Drosophila melanogaster: one gene and its partner. Changing the gene in region 1 together with any one later gene gives a genetic interaction. Each region holds a gene or a part of one and is shown on either strand. Other genes may lie near its edges.

The links. A genetic interaction does not mean that the proteins touch.
Region 2: of SMC1 (region 1) and babo, changing one enhances a phenotype caused by changing the other (phenotypic enhancement), as found in Drosophila melanogaster (one study listed by BioGRID).

The regions. Positions count from the first base shown.
Region 1 is NT_033777.3:24,056,357-24,063,362, forward strand, and holds SMC1 (structural maintenance of chromosomes 1), read left to right. Parts: upstream 1-1,930; 5' UTR 1,931-2,044; coding exon 2,045-2,443; intron 2,444-2,498; coding exon 2,499-2,647; intron 2,648-2,705; coding exon 2,706-2,874; intron 2,875-2,932; coding exon 2,933-3,955; intron 3,956-4,018; coding exon 4,019-4,588; intron 4,589-4,654; coding exon 4,655-4,910; intron 4,911-4,966; coding exon 4,967-5,271; intron 5,272-5,334; coding exon 5,335-5,435; intron 5,436-5,500; coding exon 5,501-6,004; intron 6,005-6,064; coding exon 6,065-6,242; intron 6,243-6,303; coding exon 6,304-6,366; 3' UTR 6,367-6,459; downstream 6,460-7,006. Other genes in the region: Hsp68 (heat shock protein 68), read right to left, coding at 1-748.
Region 2 is NT_033778.4:8,950,396-8,955,385, reverse strand, and holds the start of babo (baboon), read right to left. Parts: upstream 3,048-4,990; 5' UTR 2,415-3,047; coding exon 2,357-2,414; intron 2,284-2,356; coding exon 1,969-2,283; intron 653-1,968; coding exon 535-652; intron 428-534; coding exon 219-427; intron 1-218. Other genes in the region: Tom7 (translocase of outer membrane 7), read right to left, coding at 3,320-3,384, 3,494-3,593; CG8229 (uncharacterized protein), read left to right, coding at 4,799-4,990; CG33199 (uncharacterized protein), read left to right, coding at 4,630-4,680.

The DNA.
Region 1 (7,006 bases):
CCTTTTTGTACTTGCGCTTAAACTCCTCGGCAAAGTGGTTAACCAATCGGTTGTCGAAGTCCTCGCCACCCAGATGTGTGTCTCCCGCAGTCGAGCGCACCTCAAACAGGGATCCCTCGTCAATGGTCAAGATGGAGACGTCAAAAGTACCACCGCCCAAATCGAAAATCAGCACATTGCGCTCTCCCTTCAGATTCTTGTCCAGGCCGTAGGCCAGAGCCGCCGCTGTTGGCTCGTTGATGATGCGGAGCACATTGATGCCAGCGATGGCACCAGCATCCTTTGTTGCCTGGCGCTGGGAGTCGTTGAAGTAGGCCGGCACTGTGATGACAGCGTCCTTCACTGTAGTGCCCAGGTAGGCTTCTGCAGTCTCCTTCATTTTGGTGAGTACCATCGAGCTAATCTCCTCGGGAGAGAAGCACTTATTCGCGCCCTTGAACTCCACGCTTATCTTTGGTTTGCCGTTGTCGTTGATCACTTTGAACGGCCAGTGCTTAATGTCCTCCTGGATCTTGGAATCGTCGAAACGACGCCCAATCAGGCGTTTGGCATCGAACACAGAGTTCTTGGGGTTCATGGCCACCTGGTTCTTGGCGGCATCTCCAATAAGGCGTTCCGAGTCGGTGAAGGCCACGTACGATGGTGTGGTACGGTTACCCTGGTCGTTGGCAATGATCTCCACTTTTCCGTACTGGAAGACTCCCACGCAGGAGTATGTGGTGCCCAAATCGATTCCAATGGCTGGCATCTTGGCTATTTCTGTTGCTTTTTAGTTTGAACTTGGGTGCGTTTTCTTGTGGATAGTTTTCAATAATTTGTATGCTTCTTTGCGTTTTGCTTTTCTATTTTTTCACTTGGTAAAGACGTTTCAGTTTTCAACTGTCACTCTGAACTGCTTTTTATTTTTCGTTTGCTGAAGTGTTTTCACTTTGGCTGTTTGATTTCAAATGTAGCGTCTGGGAAATTTGCGCCCGTATTTATACTCAGTCGCCGGGAGGGGAAAATTCGAGATTTCCCTGCGAGAAAGGGTCAGAACATTCCAGTCAGTTCGTGTGTGTGCGAGCGAGTCAACTAGTGTGCACTTCGCAGGGGAAATTGTCAGTTGAAAGGACTGAAAGTTCAGGAAATTTCGAGAAATATATTTTTTTTATTGACATAGGTCATCATTCCAAGTGGTCATTAAACTAAATTCGTATGCAAGCTATTTTTGGCTGATTTGCGGATTGATACGTTAAGCCATTCATATTTTTAGATTCTGTTTTTGGTTTATATCTCTTTTATTATATGTGCAATACATATGTGTGTATTTTTCTTCTGATTGGAATATTTCCTCTGCAGAATATGACATACAATTACCTTAAAAGTTGAACACACTTTTCAAAACTTAATTATTCCAATTAATTATTTCCAAAAATTTAAAGAATCGTACTGCTCTATATCCAGGATACATAAATATATAGATACATATATAGGATGTACATAGATAGGATGTATATAGAATACTTCGTAGATCGATACAATCTTTAATGTGTTTATAAATAGGGAATTTTAAGATGCAAGAGCAAATGAAAAAAATCTCAGCTTGCATTATGAATATACATATGAAAATGTATAGATAATTGTACATATTAATATATATATAGTTCTGATTTCCATGACCTTTTGAAGGGTATTATGAAAAGATCCTGAAATGAAGAACAAGCCATTGGAAAATCTACAGTGATGATTGTTTTAAACCGAAAATGCCTTCGGTTCGCATAAGCCCAAGATTATAAATTATTCATTAGTTTTAAAATGTTTTTGTTTACAAATTGTATTTTGTAAACAAAGACGACCGATAGTAATCGATAGTGGTTAATTTGAAATGAAAATTGTACTATCGCTGATGTATCCCATCGATAGTTTGTTTTCTACGCCTTGCCATCTCTAGCGTCTGATATTGATGGCGTTAGCCGGATACGGTCATACTGTCATAAGAGAAAAAAAATTATTTCGCGCTCATATTGTTATTTTTCTTGGATATTTGTTGCAATCGAGCGTGTGAATGACCGAAGAGGACGACGATGTGGCCCAAAGGGTGGCGACGGCGCCCGTCCGCAAGCCGGACGACGAGACGGCCTTCCTGGAGTACATCGAAATGGAGAACTTCAAGTCCTACCGCGGTCACATAGTTGTGGGTCCTCTGAAGCAATTCAACGCTGTTATTGGGCCCAACGGATCAGGCAAGTCAAACTTCATGGATGCCATCAGTTTCGTGATGGGCGAGAAGACCAGCAGTTTGCGAGTAAAGCGCCTGAACGACCTCATCCATGGCTCCTCCATTGGCAAGCCCGTTTCCCGCAGTTGCTACGTGACCGCCAAATTTGTGCTGAACGAGGAGCGCCACATGGACTTCCAGAGGGCGGTTATCGGCGGCTCCTCGGAATATCGTATCAATGGAGAGGTTCGTATTGACAACCAATCCTCTTATTAGCCAATTAATCATATCCCCCATTTAGAGCGTATCGAGCAGCACGTACTTGAACAAGCTGGAGAAAATTGGCATCAATGTTAAGGCCAAGAACTTTTTAGTATTCCAGGGAGCTGTTGAGAACATAGCCATGAAGACACCCAAGGAACGCACTGCTCTATTTGAGGAAATTAGCGGGTAAATTTTAATTTTTTACCTAAAATCCGGATTTTTTGACCCGTGTTCACTTTTCCAGTTCTGGCCTGCTTAAGGACGACTATAATCGACTTAAACAAGAAATGATTGTTGCCGAGGAGGAGACCCAGTTTACTTACCAAAAGAAGAAGGGCATCGCGGCGGAAAGAAAAGAAGCCAAGCACGAGAAGATGGAAGCTGATCGCTACACTCGCCTGCAAAATGAATACGTATGACTCTTTATTCTGCCAACTCTATCCAATTAGCTACATCTTTTTATTCTAATAGAATGAAAAACAAGTGGAGTATCAATTATTTAGGCTATTCCACGTGGAGAGGGACATCCGGAAGTTTACGAGCGATTTGGAAGTGAGGCAACAGGAAGTTAAAGCAGTCGAACAGCGAAAAGAAGCTGCCGATGAAATCCTGCGCGAAAAGAAGAAAGACGCCGGAAAAATCACCCGAGACCTGGCCAAAATCGATCAGGAAATCAGAGAGTTTGAAACCCAGATGAACAAACGCAGGCCCCTTTACATCAAGGCCAAAGAGAAAGTTACCCACTGCAAGAAGAAGCTCATTTCCCTACAGAAGACTCTGGAAACAGCCAGGGAGGCGGACAATGCCCATCAGTCGGACATACGGAAACTGGAGAAGCAGCTGGCTGATGTGGAGGCCCTGAAAAAACGTTTCGAGGACGAGATCGAGAACGAGTCGCAGCGCCGCGGCAAAAGCGTTAACATGGAAGAGGGCCTTGTGCAAGAGTACGATCGCCTGAAGCAGGAGGCGGAAGCCACAGCTACGCAGTACCGTTCAGAGCTGGACTCAGTAAACCGGGAGCAAAAATCCGAACAGGACACGCTTGATGGGGAGACAAATCGTCGCGCCTCCGTAGAGGAGTCCTTCAAGAAGCTCACATTACAGCGCGAGGAAGCTGTAAAGCGTCGAGACAAACTGATGGATCACATCAAATCATCACAGGCTGCCTTGGAGGAACAGAACCGGATCAAGGACGAGCTCCGGCGAGATGTTGGCACATCCAAGGAGAAGATAGCCGAAAAGCAACGCGAATTGGAGGACGTACGCGATCAACTGGGCGATGCCAAGAGCGACAAGCACGAGGATGCTCGTAGGAAAAAGAAGCAGGAGGTGGTGGAGCTCTTCAAAAAACAGGTTCCCGGAGTGTACGACCGTATGATTAACATGTGTCAGCCGACGCATAAACGCTACAATGTGGCCGTCACCAAAGTTTTGGGCAAGTTCATGGAAGCCATTATTGTGGACACCGAAAAGACGGCTAGACACTGTATTCAGGTGGGTTTCAGTTGATCAACTGGGATTTACATGTAAGCATTGACGATTTTATATGTTCTATAGATCTTGAAGGAGCAAATGCTGGAAGTGGAAACCTTCTTGCCCTTGGACTATCTGCAAGTTAAGCCTCTGAAGGAACGACTTCGTAACATCAGCGACCCGCGGAACGTGCGATTGGTTTTCGATGTACTAAAGTTTGAGCCTCAAGAGATCGAACGGGCTGTGCTCTTCGCCACAGGCAATGCTCTCGTTTGCGAGACTCCCGAGGACGCCATGAAAGTGGCTTACGAGATAGACCGATCACGTTTCGATGCTCTGGCCCTGGACGGAACATTCTACCAGAAATCGGGTCTCATATCTGGCGGTAGTCACGATCTGGCTCGCAAAGCTAAGCGATGGGACGAGAAGCACATGGCTCAGCTGAAAATGCAGAAGGAGCGCCTTCAAGAAGAGCTCAAGGAGCTGGTGAAAAAGTCACGTAAGCAGAGTGAGCTCGCCACTGTGGAGTCGCAGATCAAGGGTCTTGAAAACAGGCTTAAATATAGTATGGTCGATTTGGAGTCCTCCAAGAAGTCAATTAGTCAGTATGACAATCAGTTGCAGCAAGTCCAATCGCAGTTGGACGAATTTGGAGTGAGTTTCCCTTTCAAGTTACAAAATTAAACCTAATTTATAATCTTGTCTATCCCAATTTTGCAGCCCAAGATCCTTGAGATCGAGCGTCGTATGCAAAACCGCGAGGAGCACATCCAGGAAATCAAAGAAAACATGAACAATGTGGAGGACAAAGTATATGCCTCTTTCTGCCGTCGCTTGGGCGTGAAGAACATACGACAATACGAGGAGCGTGAGCTCGTCATGCAGCAAGAGCGAGCGCGTAAACGGGCTGAGTTCGAGCAGCAGATTGATTCCATAAACTCGCAGCTGGACTTCGAGAAACAGAAAGACACTAAAAGTAAGTATACAAAATACTATGCTTTTAAAATGCCAAACAAATGCCTGCCTTCACAGAAAACGTTGAGCGCTGGGAGCGCAGCGTGCAGGATGAGGAAGATGCCCTAGAGGGACTCAAATTGGCTGAGGCACGCTATTTAAAGGAAATCGACGAGGATAAGGAGAAAATGGAAAAATTCAAGCAGGACAAGCAGGCCAAGAAGCAAGCCGTGGATGACATGGAAGAGGACATATCTAAAGCTCGCAAGGATGTGGCAAATTTGGCCAAGGAGATCCATAACGTGGGCAGTCATTTATCTGCGGTAGAGTCTAAGATCGAGGCCAAGAAAAACGAACGTCAGAACATACTGTTGCAAGCAAAAGTAAGTTAAAGTAATTATATGATAACTATTACTCTGTCTTATAATGTATTATTCACTCTGTAGACCGATTGCATCGTGGTACCACTGTTGCGCGGCTCGCTGGACGACGCAGTGCGACAAAGCGATCCGGATGTCCCATCCACCTCTGCAGCGATGGAAAATATGTAAGTTTATTTAATCACAGCATCAAAAACAACTGAACTAAAGTACGTTATTGATTCATTTTCAGTATTGAAGTGGATTATTCATCTCTACCACGAGAGTATACCAAGCTGAAGGATGACTCCGCTTTCAAAAAGACCCACGAAATGCTTCAAAAGGACCTGCAAAGCAAGCTGGACGTCTTGGAGCGCATACAGACACCCAACATGAAAGCACTGCAGAAACTCGATGCTGTAACGGAAAAAGTGCAATCCACCAATGAGGAGTTTGAGAATGCGCGCAAGAAAGCAAAGAGGGCCAAGGCGGCATTTGAACGGGTTAAGAACGAACGCTCCTCGCGATTCGTTGCGTGTTGCCAGCACATATCGGACGCCATTGACGGCATCTACAAGAAATTGGCTCGCAACGAGGCAGCCCAGGCTTATATCGGTCCCGACAATCCTGAGGAACCATATCTGGATGGTATTAACTATAATTGTGTGGCGCCAGGCAAACGTTTCCAACCCATGAACAACTTGAGTGGTGGCGAAAAAACAATAGCAGCCTTGGCTCTGCTCTTCTCGACCCACAGGTATGCAGATATAATATTTTTCCACATTTTGAGAGTAAATATTAATATATTTTTATGCAGCTTTCATCCAGCGCCGTTCTTTGTCCTTGACGAGATTGATGCCGCCTTGGACAACACGAATATTGGCAAAGTCGCTTCGTATATAAGGGATCACACAACCAACCTGCAAACCATCGTCATTTCCCTGAAGGAAGAGTTCTATGGTCATGCTGATGCTCTTGTGGGCATTACGCCTGGGGTACGTACTCAACTGGTGTAAGTTTAGGCAAGCCTAATTTTGGTTTACTCTTGACTTCCAGGAAGGCGACTGTCTCGTATCAAATGTTTACATAATGGACTTGACAACGTTCGAGGACACGTAAAGTTCATATGTCGGATGTATATTAAGTATTAGATGTAACTTTAAAGTAAATCTCGGGATTTCCAATTAATAAAGCCAGTAAATGTGTAGACGTACAATTTTTCAAACTATTCCATTACACACTCTAGTAATTCGAAAATTATACTTACTTCAAAGAAAGATAGGAACCACTTAGATGTTTTGAAAATATGTTCTGCAACTTTAATAGTTTCCTTTATTTAGGCTTGCGTTGGTTGTACTGTACCGGAGAAAGTTAAATGTGTTTGGATGTGTGAAATTATGGTTTGATGGATGGATGCTTTTGGTATATGTAAAACAACTGGGTTTTTGCTTTTAGTTTCAATTTTTAGTTTTTCTCTTTTTTTTTTCTTCACGTAAAAAACTTTTTGTATTTCATCAAGAACAAAAACAAACAATTTGATTATTCAGTTTCGGTTTGTATCATTAATTTAAAATAATCATTGCAAACAGATAAATATTGCATCGGCTAGTTAGTGTGTCAGTTTCATTGATTCATTATTATCTTTTGTGTGTTGGCTGCCTGCCGGCTATGGCGATAATCGATAAGGCTACGATACAAGGGCACGCCTGTGGGAGATTGAGATAAGGTTTGGTAAACTAAAAAAAAAAAAAATAAAATA
Region 2 (4,990 bases), on another chromosome or scaffold:
CGCTCTGGTTTTCAGCAGGTCATCATTAGTAGTGCTCTGCATTTGGGGTTATGATCATTTCAAAACTTCAACTCAACGAGCATAAGTGGGGGAAACAGTCCAAAGAACGATCAAAACTGGGCAACTGGTTGTTGAACGGCGTGCGAGTGAACAGAGAAATGGGAGCAGTCAGAGAGGAGGGGTTTTTGGGAGCGAAACACGTGCATAAGCGCACGCACCTTGGACGGAGATTTGCCGCCCTTCTTCGACACGATCACTCCTCTGGTCCTTCGTCTTTGGCCACAGAAATCGGTTGCAGAAGTCCCTGTCCTTGCAGCAGGCGTGGGCGCCATTGCGACCCACTGGGCGGGCGGTTGGTCCGCCGTGCAGCCCGTCGTTACACCAGATGGAGCGGCCCGGCGGAAAGATTTGAGACTTGTGCAGACATCTGCATCGCTCGATAGATCGATCGTATCAGACATATTCACACTGGCTGCTCTGAGGGGCAAGTGCTAACCTAATCAAAGGCCTGCTCCTCAGGCTCTCGGCACTCACCTGTAGCTGAAGATGATGCTCCCATCAGAGTTCTTCTCCACGGACGTGAAACAAAAGCCGTCCGTTTCACATATATTGTTCGATTCCTTGCACGTGTCACAGTGGCATTTTATCTTGTCTGCAGAACATAAAAGGTAAAATTAATATAAAGATCTATTTGCAAAAAACCAAACTTTAGAGTACTATCAAATCCATACATTCCTACCAAAAATTTGTTAACTTTAAACCGACTCACCAACAAAAACTTATTCTTCGCTTAACGATATATCTTCACTATTTGTAGGTGATCCTAACCAAGCACGTGTTTCTTGTAATATTTAATGAATATTAATTACTTGTGGAAAGGTAAGCAAAGGAAGAGGTCCGCGCCTCATTTGCCACGGTTAATGATTTTCTTATTATTTAAACAAATAAAACGCAAAAGCATAGGTTAGCAGTAGCAAACTTCTCGAATTAAGAAAATGCCCCGACTCCGATTGAAGCAAATCAATCAATTAGGCGCTGGCAGAAATTAACTAATTAGAGAAATAAGAGACCCATAAATCAACCACTCGCTGATTGGCATCTCCTGACCACAAATTGGGATTTGCCATAACCATGCCCCCGGGGCACCTGGCCGGGCACACGCTCGCCCAGACAGTCACATAGACATCCATAGCCACTACCATATCCACATCTACCGCCACCGACACCGCCGAGAGCGTGATGAAACAAAAACAAAACCATTTAGCATTAACAAAGCAGACGCGGAGAAGACAAGTGCAAAGTGGAGGGCCAGACAATGCGACCAGTTTCCCCTTCCCCCGGACAGCGAGAAGCCAGTGCCAGTGCTTAGGCCTGCTTTTTTTTGCACCGACTGCAGTTGCAAGTGCCCAAGTGCAGCAAGCAAATGCATCCAGACGTGGGGGTGTCTGCAGCCAGGCAGCGTTGGAGTGGGCCATGAGAGCTGTCTGGCTCAGCTCATTGACACCACGGAGAGGTGACGTCACTATATGGGAACGGAATCGGAGCCTCAGGCGCAGACGAAGACGGCCTTTTAGAAGCGTTCAGAGTCTTTGAGGTGTTACAGTCACGCGATATACACACGGAGAAAAGATCCCTATGGCATCGAAAAGATCGCCAAGTATTAAGTAACCCTTGGTAAGATATTTTAATTATTAAACAACAACAACAAAAATGTCAATATATCGGACAAGTAAGGTATAACCACTAAGCGGTTTCTATCTTCTCCCAATAATGGATTTCACCTTAAAAAAGGGAAGTAAAATGACCTTTACTCTGTGCTGACTTTCCTGGTTAACTGAAGTCAAGTAAAATGTTTGCAAGGCAATACCGGAACAAGTCTGTAAATCTATCACATTCTTGTTGTTTAGATAATTCGGGGTGCATTGTCCGCAGTGTGCTCTACACTCTCGTTAGGCAATCGGAACTTACTTTCTGGCTTTTTCGCGCTAGGCTGAGCAATGTAGATGGGCAGCTGGGGAGTAACAGCAGGGGCCACAGCTCCAGATGCGTCGCCGTCTTGCGGCAGCAGCATGGACACGGCGCTAGCGTTGTTGTTGTCGTGGCTTCTGTTATCAGCGGCCAGCGACGACGATGGCGACTGATAAGCATGTCCAGCTGTTCCAGCTGGAGCCCTGAGCGCCGGCGCTTTGGTCGTCGGTGGCCATTTGCCAGGGTGGGTTGCAGTCGCAGGATCAGATCGAGAGCCATTTAGGCTGGTGTCCATTACGAACTCAATGGGGGAGGCTGCACCGGGGGAGATTTTAGGTTAGTTTCGCACCTGATCCAGATTAATGGAACCGCTGGGGGGTACACTCACCGCAAACAGAGGCGCCGAGCAGAGCGCCCAGGAAGATTAGCCGGAGCGCAGATAACATGTTGGCTATTCGCACCGACGATAGTGTGTGCGACCCGACCCGAGCTATTGTTATTGTTTGTGCAGCCCGAGAGCTTTTCTTTTGTTTTCCACGATCGCACGCACGCACACGCGCGTCGCAAGTTCAAAGTCTGTGGCCTGCAAATGAGATTGTTGTTTCGCGGCAGGACGAGGCGGGGCCGCAGGAGCAGGAGGAGCGGCAGGAGGACACCTCAGACAGCCACTAATTGGCCCCGAACTGCGCATTTATCGCGTAGGACAGGCGCCCGCGAATTCCCACATTTGGCGGGGGCATGGCCGGGAATATAGACTGGCGATTCTCACAATTAGCGAATCTCGATGGGGGCCCGCAATGCGAAACTCGAACTCCACACTCCGCACAAGTTGGTTGGAAAAACTGCTCTGCTCTGCTTTACATTTCACGGACGAGGGCGACTTTTCAGGCGGATTTTCATCACGTGATTGGGGCAGTGGCGCGGGGGAAGTGGCACTATTTCATATTCCGCGGGACAGCCGGCACTTTCGGGTGTCTGGGGCAACCGTTTGTTTATATTAATTGCTGCTATTTTTTCTTAAATGTACAATTTTGTGCAGCGAAAAACCGCGCTGGTGTGTGTGGATTTGCAAACAGTGTGACCGCACCTGCAGTAGTGTGCCCAGGCTGGACTGCCCATGAAAAACACCCACCCGCTAGAGAAGTGCGTAAAAATGCCCAATCGGTTATGTTTTTATGGACAATGATTTTTGTTAAAATATTGGTTGTTTCCAGGATACATAAAAAAATTTCGATTTGTTTTGTAACAGATATTTATTTGCAATAGCTGCAGGTACTGCACCCGTTCCCAGAAACCCAACCAGAACCAAAATGCGGGGCATACGACAGCAAAATGATCATGTCCACTATTTTTACTGCCATAACAGACTGAAAAGGTTCAGAGGCGGCATGCCAGGCTCAGCTCCCTTCATAAATCCTGCGAAAATGAGAATTGGTCAAAATCAATGTCGGTCCATTTGATATTACCCCGCTGCTTCTTCTTCCCAGCCGCGTGTAGATTACAAAAAACATGAACCACAACTTACCCAAATACAGCACAAGAGGCACGAATCCCCAGTGGAATCCAGTCTGGACGACTCCAACCACAAATCCCAAACGATCCTTAACTCCCTCGGATAGCTTCATTTCGTACGGATATTGAATTTAGCTCCTTTTGCGAATTATGAAATGATAACTTGTCTGACTGCAAACGAAGTGTTGGAAAACAGCACTTTTTTCGATATAAAACAGCTGACAGAAACTTTTTGTTAGGTTACTCGTTCAATTTATATTTTCTTGGGATGGCTTTGTCGCAGGTTGCTGGGCCTGAAATAATTTACCAATTTAAAGAATCAGTAAAATTATTTCGAATACAGATTTCTGTTGGTGTGGCAACATTGACATTTGAGCGCAAAATTTAAATTCGCTTCTAAAACGGTCACACCGTTTTGCCCTTTGGGTTTTAATCTGATATTCTTTAATTTATATTTTCCACTATAAAGGTTTTTAACTACCATTTCACCGACAAGTTGTCTATTGGACACATATCATGAAAAGAAAAAAGTGTGCTTGGTCTGAAAAATACCTTTTCGTATTTTTAATGATCCCGCAATATTTTTGCATGTGTACTCCCATCAACTTTAAAGATGTTACATTTCCAAAGTTTCAAATTCTGAAAGCGTTGGAAATGCAACAAGAATTTGAAGTAAGGAAACTTCTTTTTAACGCTCAAAGTTTTCGTTGATTTCTTAACAATATGAAGCATAAAAATAAAAAATACCCCTGCTATCTCTCGCAGCAGGCAAGTGCTCCGTAGATCGATACTATCGCAGCCACTCGAAGTCCCATCTCTAATCTCGAGTCCCTTTCGCACTTGCCCGCTACTCACATGAGTTCTAGATCGTTTAGTTTTCTTGGTTTTCATTTGCTCGCCAAATTTTAGCAACGTTGCTGGTTTAATCGGCTGCACCTGCAATCGCGGTTAATCAGAGAGCGCCGAGCACTAAAGTTCCCATTGCCAAACGAAACGTAAGTGATAAAGAACGCCAGCAATGAGCGAACAAGAGCAAAGCGCACGCAGTCGGGGAAAAATCAATTGATGTTATGTAAGCTCGAATAACCGGATACCGTGTCTACTACTGTTGCAGGTCCCGATTTGCTCGATTTGGAACTGGAACGGACCATGAAAACAAGCAATCTCGGCCTGTACGCTTTCCGTTTAACCTTCGGTCAGGTGAGCACACGCACATTAAACCAGGCAGCCAAACGGCAGAAACAGCATGCGCATTCTGGGGGAAACCTCTGAGTTTTTCGGCCGGGCAAACCAAGGACCACCACAATCGTCGTTGAGAATGCAGCGACTGCAGCCGGGAGACGAGTGTCTGGAGTGCCAGAGTGAAGGCAGGAATCACAAGCTGCGCTACTTTTACATTAATCTCGAGGAGCAGCTGCTGAAGTGCGAGTCCAGGAGCTGTTTGTGGCCACACAACGATGAGGTCTCCTCTGATGAAGATCTGAACTCGGAGGCAGCACTTCCCATCACT